Arabidopsis thaliana: one gene and its partner. The protein of the gene in region 2 interacts with the protein of the main gene of each other region in a biochemical or structural test. Each region holds a gene or a part of one and is shown on either strand. Other genes may lie near its edges.

The links. The genes of interacting proteins can lie anywhere in the genome.
Region 1: the proteins of RIN3 (region 2) and RPM1 form a complex in vitro, tested with the Arabidopsis thaliana proteins (one study listed by BioGRID).

Annotation. Positions count from the first base shown.
Region 1 is NC_003074.8:2,225,323-2,231,538, reverse strand, and holds RPM1 (NB-ARC domain-containing disease resistance protein), read left to right. Parts: upstream 1-1,983; 5' UTR 1,984-2,514; coding exon 2,515-5,295; 3' UTR 5,296-5,684; downstream 5,685-6,216. Other genes in the region: NSN1 (GTP-binding family protein), read left to right, coding at 47-220, 319-533, 628-892, 1,005-1,184, 1,286-1,497, 1,593-1,937.
Region 2 is NC_003076.8:20,890,891-20,898,482, forward strand, and holds RIN3 (RPM1 interacting protein 3), read left to right. Parts: upstream 1-1,752; 5' UTR 1,753-1,909; intron 1,910-2,209; 5' UTR 2,210-2,273; coding exon 2,274-2,510; intron 2,511-2,903; coding exon 2,904-2,981; intron 2,982-3,277; coding exon 3,278-3,364; intron 3,365-3,464; coding exon 3,465-3,586; intron 3,587-4,097; coding exon 4,098-4,194; intron 4,195-4,300; coding exon 4,301-4,406; intron 4,407-4,533; coding exon 4,534-4,691; intron 4,692-4,799; coding exon 4,800-4,937; intron 4,938-5,016; coding exon 5,017-5,084; intron 5,085-5,170; coding exon 5,171-5,389; intron 5,390-5,604; coding exon 5,605-6,025; intron 6,026-6,276; coding exon 6,277-6,333; 3' UTR 6,334-7,069; downstream 7,070-7,592. Other genes in the region: AT5G51440 (HSP20-like chaperones superfamily protein), read left to right, coding at 352-556, 696-1,123; RGF5 (root meristem growth factor), read left to right, coding at 7,479-7,592. UniProt on the Arabidopsis thaliana protein: E3 ubiquitin protein ligase that acts as a positive regulator of RPM1- and RPS2-dependent hypersensitive response (HR), in association with RIN2. Probably not required for RPM1 degradation during HR.

The DNA.
Region 1 (6,216 bases), on a different chromosome or scaffold from region 2:
TGCTTTCTCTCTGCCTTTACATGCACTAATGTCTTTTGTTTCACAGATAACTCGGAGAGGGCTTTCTACAAGGAGCTAGTTAAAGTCATTGAATTGTCTGATGTCATTTTGGAGGTTCTTGATGCCCGTGATCCTCTTGGCACTCGTTGTACTGACATGGAGAGGATGGTGATGCAAGCCGGTCCCAATAAGCATCTTGTGTTGCTGCTGAACAAGATTGGTAAGTTCATATATTCAGTCTTTACTCGTGGACGTAATAAGTTGTTTGTTTACTCTGGGTGGTGTAATTAATTTTTGTAACTGATTCACTCTCTCCAGATCTTGTTCCCCGAGAGGCTGCTGAGAAATGGCTTATGTACCTTAGGGAAGAATTTCCAGCTGTTGCCTTCAAGTGTAGCACCCAGGAACAGAGATCAAACTTGGGTTGGAAATCATCTAAGGCATCAAAACCAAGCAATATGTTGCAGACGAGTGATTGTCTTGGAGCAGACACTCTTATCAAATTGTTGAAGAACTACTCAAGAAGTCATGAGGTTGGTTCCATAGTTTAAACTTTAATCATCCTACCTTAGCATCAAGTTATATCATTCAGTTTCAATTAAATCTTCCTTTGTTGTTCTTTGGCAGTTAAAAAAATCTATCACAGTTGGTATTATTGGACTGCCTAATGTCGGCAAGAGTAGTCTTATTAACAGTCTGAAGAGAGCGCATGTTGTCAATGTTGGTGCCACTCCTGGACTGACTAGATCTCTGCAAGAGGTTCACTTGGACAAAAACGTGAAGTTGCTGGATTGTCCTGGAGTTGTGATGTTGAAATCATCAGGAAATGATGCTTCCATAGCTCTCCGAAATTGTAAAAGAATCGAGAAGTTGGATGACCCAGTTAGTCCAGGTAATTGGATATAAGCTCAAGATAGAATCACACTTATTTTTGTGCTTTGTCTTTTAAAGGTTATAATCTGAGTGACCTAACTTGGAAATCTTCTGCTTTGTGAAAAAAATAGTGAAGGAAATTCTCAAGCTTTGTCCTAAAGATATGCTGGTGACTCTCTACAAAATCCCGAGCTTCGAGGCAGTTGATGATTTCCTTTACAAAGTCGCCACTGTAAGGGGTAAACTTAAAAAGGGTGGTCTTGTGGATATTGATGCTGCTGCCAGAATTGTTTTGCATGACTGGAATGAAGGTGCGGATCTTTTTTTGTTCCTCGTAAACTTGAAGCGTAAAAGCATTTTTGAAAACCAGTTTCTTAACTCATCATTGTCTCTAATATGAATGGTTATGCAGGTAAAATCCCATACTATACAATGCCGCCAAAGAGGGACCAGGGTGGACATGCAGAGTCAAAGATTGTGACTGAGCTGGCCAAGGATTTCAACATCGATGAGGTTTACAGTGGTGAATCCTCTTTCATTGGGAGCTTGAAGACGGTTAACGAATTCAACCCTGTTATTATTCCTTCAAATGGTCCTCTCAATTTCGATGAAACTATGATCGAGGTTGGTAACTTCTCTCGTGATTCCATTTGCTTGTAAATGACTCGGTCTGGATTTAATCTTTGTTTATGATGATGTATCACAAAAAAAAAAAACAGGATGAGTCTAAGACGCAGACGGAAGAGGAGGCTGAGCATGAGAGTGATGATGATGAGTCAATGGGAGGGGAGGAGGAGGAAGAGGCAGGAAAGACGAAGGAGAAATCAGAGACGGGGAGGCAGAACGTGAAGCTATACGCAGCGGAAAGCATGTTGAATACAAAGAAACAGAAAGCAGAGAAGAAGAAGAGGAAGAAAGCAAAGAAAGCAGGAGCTGATGAGGAGGATCTGATGGACGGAGATTATGATTTCAAAGTGGATTATAGGAAGAACAAAGATGGAGAAGACGAAGAATTCCAGATTGATGCTAAAATCCCAATGGCTGGACTTTTGCCTGAAGAATGAGTGATTGGAAACCACAACGTTTTTTTTTTTTTTTTTTTTTGTATTTGGCGTTTATGAGTCGGTCGGTTAAACTTTCTGATATATGTGCTTCATGAACTAGTAGTAATACTGAAGCGATTTTGATTTCTTTAATTAACGTTTCTTCTATTCCAATTCTGCTTTGCTTAACAAATATCTTAAGAACATTCAAAAATCATTGAGGTAAGTGTACTTCTTCGCCCTTCAGAAGAAAGTAATAATCTTTTACCCTTTCAGTTTCAGGTAACGAATGACGAAAACAACACCCGAGTTCAGTACATCAGATTTCTCTGTCTCTCTCTTGGAACTTCCAAACTCGACCATATCCGTCAAATTGAATTCCAAGTTGCAAATGTGAAAGCAGTTTAAACCCGTGTTGACTTTAACGCAAGTAAAGGACGTTGACTTTGTTGAGGTCCTTAAGGATAATTGATCAAAATGTTATGTGGCAGGCATGTAAGGTGTGAACCGAAAGCTTGGCTTTGCTCAAATTCAGCAAGTTCACCAAGAGAAACTAAATCAGTGAAGGAAAAAAGGTTCAAGCGAGACTCTGAGGAAGATGGCTTCGGCTACTGTTGATTTTGGGATCGGACGGATTCTTAGTGTCCTGGAAAACGAGACCTTGTTATTGTCAGGAGTCCATGGTGAGATTGATAAAATGAAGAAGGAGTTGCTGATCATGAAGTCCTTTCTTGAGGATACTCATAAACATGGTGGAAATGGATCCACAACAACAACAACTCAACTCTTCCAAACTTTTGTGGCAAACACGAGAGATTTGGCTTACCAAATCGAAGACATTCTCGACGAGTTTGGCTATCACATCCACGGTTATCGTAGCTGCGCCAAAATTTGGCGTGCGTTTCATTTCCCGAGGTATATGTGGGCGAGGCACTCGATAGCTCAAAAGCTAGGAATGGTTAATGTCATGATTCAATCCATTTCTGATTCCATGAAAAGGTACTATCATTCAGAAAACTACCAAGCAGCATTATTACCGCCTATTGATGATGGCGATGCAAAGTGGGTGAACAACATCAGTGAGTCATCTCTTTTCTTTAGTGAAAATAGTCTTGTAGGGATTGATGCACCCAAGGGAAAGCTCATCGGACGGCTTCTAAGTCCCGAACCTCAGCGGATTGTTGTCGCGGTGGTTGGGATGGGCGGTTCAGGGAAAACTACACTCTCAGCGAATATCTTCAAGTCTCAAAGTGTGCGGAGGCATTTTGAGTCTTACGCTTGGGTTACAATCTCGAAATCTTATGTGATTGAAGATGTGTTTAGGACCATGATCAAGGAGTTTTACAAAGAAGCAGATACACAGATTCCAGCTGAATTATACTCCTTAGGCTACAGAGAGTTGGTGGAAAAACTTGTGGAGTATTTGCAGTCGAAGAGGTACATTGTTGTGCTTGATGATGTATGGACCACTGGTCTATGGAGGGAGATAAGTATTGCTTTACCAGATGGTATTTATGGAAGTCGTGTTATGATGACTACTCGGGACATGAACGTGGCTTCTTTCCCATATGGAATTGGGAGCACAAAGCACGAGATTGAGCTCTTAAAAGAAGACGAAGCTTGGGTGCTTTTCTCCAACAAAGCTTTTCCGGCAAGTCTTGAGCAATGCAGAACGCAGAATTTGGAGCCGATAGCACGAAAATTAGTCGAGAGATGTCAGGGTTTGCCATTAGCTATTGCTTCTTTGGGAAGCATGATGTCAACCAAGAAGTTTGAATCAGAATGGAAGAAAGTCTACAGTACTTTAAACTGGGAACTGAACAACAATCATGAACTCAAGATTGTTCGAAGCATTATGTTCCTTAGCTTCAATGATTTGCCATACCCGCTTAAACGTTGTTTCTTATATTGTTCTCTTTTCCCTGTGAACTATCGGATGAAAAGAAAGAGGCTCATTAGGATGTGGATGGCACAAAGGTTTGTGGAACCGATCAGAGGAGTGAAAGCAGAAGAAGTGGCTGATAGTTACCTCAATGAACTTGTTTACAGAAATATGCTTCAAGTTATCTTGTGGAATCCTTTTGGACGACCCAAGGCGTTCAAGATGCATGACGTGATATGGGAGATTGCTCTATCTGTATCCAAACTTGAGAGGTTCTGTGATGTATATAATGATGACAGTGATGGTGATGATGCTGCAGAAACAATGGAGAATTACGGTAGTCGCCATTTATGCATTCAGAAAGAGATGACACCTGATAGTATACGTGCAACAAACCTTCACTCTCTTTTGGTTTGCTCTTCTGCTAAACACAAGATGGAATTACTTCCAAGTCTGAACCTTCTGAGAGCCTTAGACCTTGAAGACTCTTCCATCAGCAAGTTACCAGATTGTTTAGTAACTATGTTCAACTTAAAGTACTTGAATTTGTCCAAGACACAGGTGAAAGAACTGCCAAAAAACTTCCATAAACTCGTCAATTTGGAGACGTTGAACACAAAGCACTCCAAGATTGAGGAACTTCCTCTAGGGATGTGGAAATTGAAGAAGTTGCGATATCTCATTACTTTTCGCCGCAATGAAGGACATGATTCCAATTGGAATTATGTTTTAGGTACAAGGGTTGTTCCTAAAATCTGGCAGTTGAAGGATTTGCAAGTCATGGACTGCTTCAACGCAGAAGATGAGCTTATCAAAAATCTCGGGTGTATGACTCAGCTCACAAGAATAAGTCTTGTCATGGTTAGGAGAGAACATGGAAGAGACTTGTGCGATTCACTGAATAAGATTAAAAGAATTCGATTCTTATCTTTAACGTCGATTGATGAAGAGGAACCGTTAGAGATAGATGACCTGATCGCAACTGCAAGCATTGAGAAGCTCTTTCTTGCTGGGAAACTGGAGAGAGTACCAAGTTGGTTCAACACTCTTCAAAACCTTACCTATTTGGGTTTGCGTGGATCTCAGCTACAGGAAAACGCCATTCTCTCTATCCAAACGCTTCCTAGATTGGTATGGCTTTCATTTTACAATGCATACATGGGACCTAGGTTGCGTTTTGCACAAGGATTTCAGAATCTGAAGATTCTAGAGATAGTTCAGATGAAACATCTGACAGAAGTTGTTATAGAAGACGGTGCAATGTTTGAGCTTCAGAAGCTTTATGTCAGGGCTTGTAGAGGGTTAGAGTACGTACCAAGAGGAATTGAGAATCTTATAAATCTTCAAGAACTGCATTTGATTCATGTTTCTAATCAGTTAGTAGAACGCATTCGCGGAGAAGGGAGTGTGGACCGGTCAAGGGTTAAACACATTCCTGCGATTAAGCATTATTTCAGAACTGATAATGGCTCTTTCTATGTGAGCCTCTCATCTTAGGCGGCCAAGGCAAGCTTCATCATACAAGATACTGCACACTGTACTGTGAAAATCAGGGATGGATATTCACATAACTACTAAACGCCATGAGCTTACCAAACAGATTGATTGTCATGTGTTGTCTTTGAAAGTCAACAATCAGGTCTTCTCTTCACTCAAAGACAACATTTTTTTGCTGGTCTCATGAGTCAGTGCTAATGACTAAACAGCTCACTTCACAGCAGTTTCCACTGTTTTTTTTCGAAATTCATTTAAGTAAGATTTAATATGGTCAGCTGATTGTTCTGTAATTCTGTGTAAACATTACTTTGTTAAGACCTTAATATTGTTGACATTGTTATTTGAGTATCGGCTTCAACCAAGAAATTCCACTACCGTGTTAGTCTTCTAAATGAAAGTGGCTCATTCACAATCCCAAAAGTTAGGACCTTTACACTAATCGAAATAACCAGATACAGTTGGACTAAATACTTAATACTACTCCAAAACATTCCATTTTAAATTTCTCCTTAACTGATGGAAAAGTTTTGAAATTTTGAAAAGAAGAAAGTAAAAAAAATCTTGTTATCAACGATCCGCGGCGGTTAAAACGGAGATTATTATTGATGGATGGATATCTGGTCATTCGTGTTATCCACGTGCAACTAACGCACGTAAAAGACATACTAACCTCCCCGAAAATCGGATCCGGATCCGAAAATATCTGACCCGTTTTGAAGCGGTTTGACGAAAGACCGTTTTGGGCCTAGTCAATAGTAAAAATTAAAAACTCAAGGCTCTTTGGTGTCCCTTGGTATTACTATCGGCCTTTCCCGATGCTCTTTCTTCTTCATCTTGAAACTCGCGATTCCTTCTTCTCCTTCTAGGGTTTATTACTAAGGGTTTCTCTATCCTTAAATCTCATCTCTGTCCTTTCTTCTT
Region 2 (7,592 bases):
GAAGAAGAAACTAAACCAAATCGATCTAAACCGACTTTCAAATTCGACTTTAAAACCAAACCAAAGTAAACGGAAGATAAATTTACAAATCTGGGCCCCAAAGTGATGGGCCGTCACGGAAAAAGTTTTCTTCTTTCTTTTTCTTTATTTTTCTTTATTTTACTTGGAGACCACGCAGTTCTAGAACCATCCTTAAGCGACTCTCTAGCCTCTAGCAGCTTCTTCTACTCTCTGTTCTATATAAACCTTTCTCTAACAGCTTTTTTTTCGTTCAAAGAGTATAAAAAATATCTCATCGAGCTTGAAAATAATTAATCACTTGCTAATTCTAAGCTTCTTCTCTTTCCAAAAATGGCGTCATCATCGGCTTTAGCTCTCAGGAGACTTCTCTCTTCTTCCACCGTCGCCGTCCCTCGCGCCTTAAGAGCCGTTCGTCCGGTGGCTGCTTCATCTCGCCTCTTCAATACCAACGCCGCCAGAAACTATGAAGACGGTGTCGATAGGAACCATCACTCAAACCGACATGTTTCTCGCCACGGCGGCGATTTCTTCTCACGTAAATCCATGGTTCCTCCGTCCAATTTCGCTATAGATTTTCCCAATTTGATACATGTTTAGTGATTTATGTATAGAGTACATCTAACTTTGTTTTGGAGATCTGTTGAATCTGAAAATTTGGTTGTTTTTTCAAACAGATATACTCGATCCGTTTACTCCAACGAGAAGCTTGAGCCAGATGCTGAATTTCATGGACCAGGTAAGCGAAATCCCTTTGGTATCAGCTACTCGTGGAATGGGAGCTTCTGGAGTTAGACGTGGTTGGAACGTGAAAGAGAAAGACGACGCGTTGCATCTAAGGATAGATATGCCGGGACTAAGCAGAGAGGATGTGAAATTGGCTTTGGAACAGAACACATTGGTGATTAGAGGAGAAGGGGAAACAGAGGAGGGAGAAGATGTTTCTGGAGATGGACGGAGGTTTACGAGTAGGATTGAGTTACCGGAGAAAGTATACAAGACTGATGAGATTAAGGCGGAAATGAAGAATGGTGTGTTGAAAGTGGTGATTCCAAAGATTAAAGAGGATGAGCGTAACAATATTCGTCACATAAACGTTGACTAGAGTGTTTTATTTTGGATTGTTTGAGATGGAATGGAAGTAAGTGAGTGAATTTGTGAACTTTAAGGTGTCCTTTGGTGAATCAAGGAGAATGACATTTCCCACGGTCCTATGTGTTCGGGATTTTGACTTTTTTCGTTACATCAATGATCTATGTACGTTTGACTACTTTCATATCATAGGTTCGGATTTTGTTTCCCAAATTCTTGATATCGGATTCTGGATATGAATATCGTAGCAACTATGATATAGTTGAAGTTATTTGGATATTATTTATGGAGAAAAAGAGTCTGCTAGGACGATTTTCTATCATTATACCTATGGACTATGGTGGTGTTATCAAACATGCTGGACAGAGCCATGATCAACGATACATTCGATGCTCATTCTCGATGTTCAAACTCGGTTTTATAAGGGGATGATACATCAAATTGATACCAAGTAACTGATTTTGAATGTGCTGGAAATGTTGATATAGGTCTCAGCAACCAGAAGAAGGTTGTGGGACAAGACTATTAGAGAATTTTGCTACCGTTTTTTTTTCACCTCTGTTTGGCAAAGCGCGCTCTTTATAGCTTTACTTCTTTGGAACCACTTCGGTGACCATAGAACTCGTTCGTGTCGGCATCGTCAAATTTAAGTAACTTTTTATTTACCGCATGGTTTATTATTTTGAGTTTTTTTCTTCCGCATTTTATATTCTTCATTTTTCCTTGTCCATCGAGAAAGAGAGACAAAAAGAGGACGCAATTGCCGGTGCTGAGGAGAATTTTCCAATCGCGAACTCAGGTTTTGATCCATTTCGCTCTCTGCAGAATCCACCATTATCTTCATATTTTCTTCTATTGACCTCAATCTTTCAGCTCATCTCTCTCCTTTGGTTAATTGAATTTCCCAGTTTCTTCAATTTTACTTATTTAATACATATCTCTCTCAATTGCAGTATCCTATGAACTTCGTGATCATGGTTTTGAATTTTACTTGCTTCGATTGGCCTACGTTATAAAAAAATTGAAACTTTTTAACTCAATTCTCTAACTTACATAAGCTTTTGGTTTGCTTAGCTTATGCAAAATCATGTTGATGCAGGGGACGTCATGCTAAATGAGAATCTGTGGGTTAATTCGGAGTGAGAAGGCTATAATAGTTTCTAATGGGGATAACATATTTGCACATTTCCGTGGCAACAACAGCTTTGAGCTTTGTGGGTTTACAAGTCTGGACGGAGTTGTCTCTTGATAGACTTAGAGCTGATGGGATAATCACCAAGAACATTTCTTTAGGGAATTCTGAGAATACCCTTGAGCTTCTTCTGAGTTCTCACACTACAATTGCATTGCTGGCAAGTTTTGTTCTCAATATCTACATTCTTCTTGTTCTTTCTCTCAAGGTAAGAGTGGTCTTTTACTTCCGAGGTTAAGTTTAAGCAATATTCGTCGGCTAGCTTTATTCTTACGTAGAATAGATATACATCTTTTGAATGGTTCTTTCCTTTAGATGGAATTCAATGTAAAGCTCGTAGTTTGGCTATTAGAAAATACATGAATTATAAGTTTGCACCTGCGGGTTAAGAGTTGTGGTGTAAGAACCAAGTATTTCTGACCTGAAGGATTTAAAAACTCTTGGTTTTCGATAGTTATAAGGCTTCCGTGAAACCAAATACCATGCTATTTGTTGCCTTAAGGGTCTGCACATACTTGTAGGGTAATAATAGACTAGCTGTTTTGGGAAATGTCTTTCAATCATTGTGTGAGGATCTGATAACTCTTAATATTCCCTGCAGACTCTGTTTTTTGGAGATCTATATGCCATTGAAACTAGAAAACTGGTGGAAAGGCTTGCCAATTACATCATTTACAAGGTAGTTTTTTGTACTTTGATGAAAGACAGTAGGGTGCAACGGAAACCAACCCACAATTTCTGTCACTTATATAGTTTTATGATATCTGGGATATTCTATTATCTCCTTTACTGAATATATTGCAAAAAAGGATGAAGACGAAATCCTACTTAAAATGACAAGCATTAATGGTACATGAGCATATATTTCTACCACATTATTCGATTGGATATCTGATCTGTTTGCATAAAATTAAGTTATTTGCAGATGTGTGCCATTTTCATGTTAATAACCTTCTTGGTTACTCCTGTTTTTAGGGCACTTTTCTGCCATTCGTGGTTCCACGAACAGTATTTCAGGGGGTCCTATGGACAATCTGGTTGACTGTTCTGTGTACTCTAAAGGTATGGTATACAGGTTGCATAATTGGCTTTCTTGATTTATGATCAGGAAGTGCTGATTTTTTTTTCTAGACACCCTAATGTGTAGTAAAATGTTGTGTAGATGTTTCAAGCTTTGGCTAGAGATCGGCTTGATCGATTGAATGCATCTCCTTCTTCGACTCCTTGGACATACTTTCGTGTGTATTCAGCACTGTTCATGGTTCTCTCTACTGATTTGTGCTGGTATTTCCTTAACTCTTTGGTATCATGTGAAATTTTGAGTTGCGGCTTTTTCAACCCCTTTTTTTTTTTTAATATGAGTGCACTATTTTCCTTCTTCTATTTCAAAATATGAGTGTAAAGTTTTCCTCCTAGTTTCTGTCTCTGGAACCAGATATATATTCTTAAAATAAAATAAAGTATAGTTGTATATCAGAGGAGACAAAACAAATTAACCCTAAGTCTCTGAATGGTGCACATGACTTTCATGATGCATATAGTTCTAGTGAAAGCAGTGTAATTTTCTGCTAAGATAAAACAGAGGCTTTAGTATGTTCTGAGGGTGCATATGCTGTAGTGAGCGGAGAAAATATTGTGTTCTAGAGTTCCCGTATTTATTATACTGCAGTTCAATGAGGAGAAAATAGGGAGTTTTTAATTCATACACCAGACCCTCTGGATTATCATATTCTGTTCTAGTGATTGAAGAATGAACTTGTTCGTCTCTGGATGTTAATTTTGTCGAATCTTGCAGGATAAAGCTTTCCCTTATGATATACAATACAGTTGGTTCGTCTGTCTATTTACTGTTACTTTTTGAGCCATGCGGTATAGCTTTTGAGACCTTGCAGGTACTTGAGTAAGATAGTTGTATTCATTGTTTATGTTACCCTTCTTTGTAACCGTACCTAGAAATATAGAGGGTTGATCAATCGCATAATGGATCATTTTTTTCAGGCGTTGTTGATTCACGGGTTTCAACTGCTTGATATGTGGATCAACCACTTAGCAGTCAAGAATTCAGATTGCCAGAGATCAAAGTTTTATGATTCCATGACAGCAGGTTTTGTCTTTTTCTCGGCATATGATTGTAATTATGTTTTCTGTTAGACTGCAGGCGTGCATTATTTGAAATTTTTTGTCCTGTTTGGTGTTCACATTACTAACTTGACCTCTTACCCATTGAATAGGCTCGTTATTGGAATGGAAAGGCCTCCTCAACCGAAATCTTGGTTTCTTCCTAGACATGGCTACCTTGGTAATGGCCCTCGGTCATTATTTGCACATCTGGTGGCTCCATGGAATGGCCTTCCATCTGGTGGATGCAGTTTTGTTTCTCAACATACGTGTAAGTCTGTTAATTGACTTTCTTTGTAAAAGTGCCACTCTACTGGTTTCTTAATAGGCACATACCTAATTGTTAAGTTCTTTGTGTGTTCCCGTTTGATTTTGACAGGCCTTGCTAAGTTCAATTTTGAAACGAATAAAAGGATACATCAAACTGAGAGTAGCTTTAGGTGCTCTTCATGCAGCTCTTCTTGATGCAACTTCAGAAGAGCTACGGGATTATGATGACGAATGTGCTATATGTCGGGTAAGTTTCTGCTTGATAGTTATTGGTCTCCTTACTTTTTTTAGTAGCTCACTAATCTTGGAACCATTATGAATGATAGGAACCAATGGCTAAGGCTAAAAGACTTCACTGCAACCACCTTTTTCATCTTGGCTGCCTACGATCATGGTATGCTAGCTCTGTTATGTTGGCAGCCTTGTGCTATTGCGGTTCTGTGAGAACTGTAAATCATAATGATATTTTGACTCTGGCAGGTTGGATCAAGGTTTAAATGAGGTTTACTCTTGTCCTACTTGCCGTAAGCCTCTTTTTGTTGGTAGAACTGAAAGTGAGGCGAATCCTAGCAGAGGAGAAGTCTCAAGCGATGAACACTTAGCCCGTCAATTTGAGAGACAAAACAATTCTGTGCATGCACTAACCACTGGAATGTTTCCAACTGAGACGCCAAATTTCACCGAAAGTGATCCTTGGAGGTTGGGTTCATTGTTCCATATGTTTTCTTCTTAAGTGCATTAAAGTAACAGTGTGTTCATAACAAGATCATCAACTTCCTGTGGTTTCCTATCCCTGAGCTAAAATACTATGCATTCTCTAATTTTGTCTAATTATACTTGGTTCTTTTGGGTAGCAAGTAATTGTTGGTTTTGTGAGGACCAAGCTTGTGCCCCCATTGATTTTCTTTTTAAAGACTGGCTTTCTTAAACGGGATTAGCAGTTCTCACCTTTTTCTCATGCCATATAGGAATTCAGAGGTGGATCCAAGCTGGCTGCAAACATGGTCAGATCAGGGTGTTGATGTTGTGGGTTCCTCTGCAGGCTCCAGATCCGTTGGGCTGGGGCAGGTTCAATTGATGATGAGGCATCTTGCATCTGTAGGGGAAGGTTCTGCTCAGACTACACTTGACGATGCTTCTTGGGGTCTCTGGCCAATGAATCCTTCGCAAGCATCGACTTCATCTACATATGTTCCTCCTGGTGCTGGAGGAAGAACAGGTGGTCTGCATCTAAGAACTGTCTCCCGTGCAGCAAATAACATGGCGAGTATACTAGCAATGGCCGAGACAGTAAGGGAAGTCCTCCCACATGTGCCTGATGAAATAATTTTTCAGGTAAATATTAGATGCATTTATTGGTATGTGTCTGCTTTGACAAGCAAGCTACTTGCTGGGTTGAATTGCTAGGATATTTAGTTAGTTTCCTGCATCAAATGAAAGGAAAACATTTGTATATATGAATTTGTGAAGCAAAATTTTCATTAAGAAATTAATGGGCTCAATTTTTCTGAGTTTAATGGCCATTTGTTGTCATTTGTTTGCACACGCTGGGTATTGAAGTGATGATTGATTCAATCTTCTTTCAGGACCTGCAAAGAACAAATTCTGTTTCTGTTACAGTGAACAATCTTCTCCAGATGTGAAAATTGGTTTGCCTAAAAGTAATTAGCAGTTCCATTCGATAAGATAGACGCATCAGGAAACATCCTTGTCTTTTAAGTTTGACTCACCACCACACATTTAGAAGCGTTGTCTGCTGTAAATAGGAGGCATTCTTGCAACAGACTTTGCAAGAGTAAGAGGCTCTAGAGTAGATTTTGTTCATTGCTCTTGTGGGATAAATAAAGCTCATTTAGTTGCATTGTTCAGTCTGATGTTGGAGGCTTTATTCTCTGGAGCTGGTAACCAGTCTATGGGAATGCACGTCTGAGGACTGATGCTACCTCCATTTGTATAAGAACGTGTAATTTTACAATAAAACAAAAAGCAGAATGTATTGTTATTGATCCAATAGATCTTCTCAATTGCTGAACCGTTTCCTTAAAGCTGGGTCCTGCTGTCTACTCTATACCGGTTTCTTTAGCTTGAATTTGCAGGTTTCATGGCTTCTTGGAACAGAGGAAAGACATTCTGAGGGAACATTCTTGGTCCAGATGTTGGGTTCTTGGTTCTTGAAGCTCTTTTACTTTGAACTAACATGTGTTATTTGTTTTAGAAACACGCAGGAATTGAGCAATTCAATAGGACTTTTTGAAGACAAGATGTCTCGGAGATTGTGTCAAAGCTCAAAAAGTAGTGTTAACAGTCATCGTCAACCTCCAAACCATCCTCGAGGCAGACAAAACCATTAAGGTAATTAAAACAATTGCCTTCAAAAAGTGCTTTAAGTTTTTCATATAATAATGCAATCCGAAACTAGCTTGCATTATCTTAATAGAATATTTACCGTGGTAGTCGGTAAGTTTTGGGGATTGGTCTCAAATGAGATGTGTAAGAGACAAGAAGTAGTAAATCACTCGTTTTTCACCGAGGTTTATATGTCCTTTTCCTTTTGTTGTTTCTTTCTCTCTTTTTGACTCATGTTTGGCTTTTCCCATGAGCTTTTCCAGCACATTCATCTGGATTGATTAAATAAAAAACTTGTTTATTCTGTGATTTAATTCTTACATTCAAATACTTATGCGTGAACTTGCTCTTATTATATAGTCTCCTACTACCTATTAAGTCTTTTAACGGTTCATAATCCTCTTAGTCGTTGAGCCTTGTATGACTGCTTCTGTTGTGACCAATGAGCTCAATCCATGTTGCTTCAATGATCCTTCTCTTGTTTCTCTTCTTGCATCATTCTGATTCTCGTCACCTCGACAATGTCCACATTACAGCGTCTCGGTTTTCACTCGTC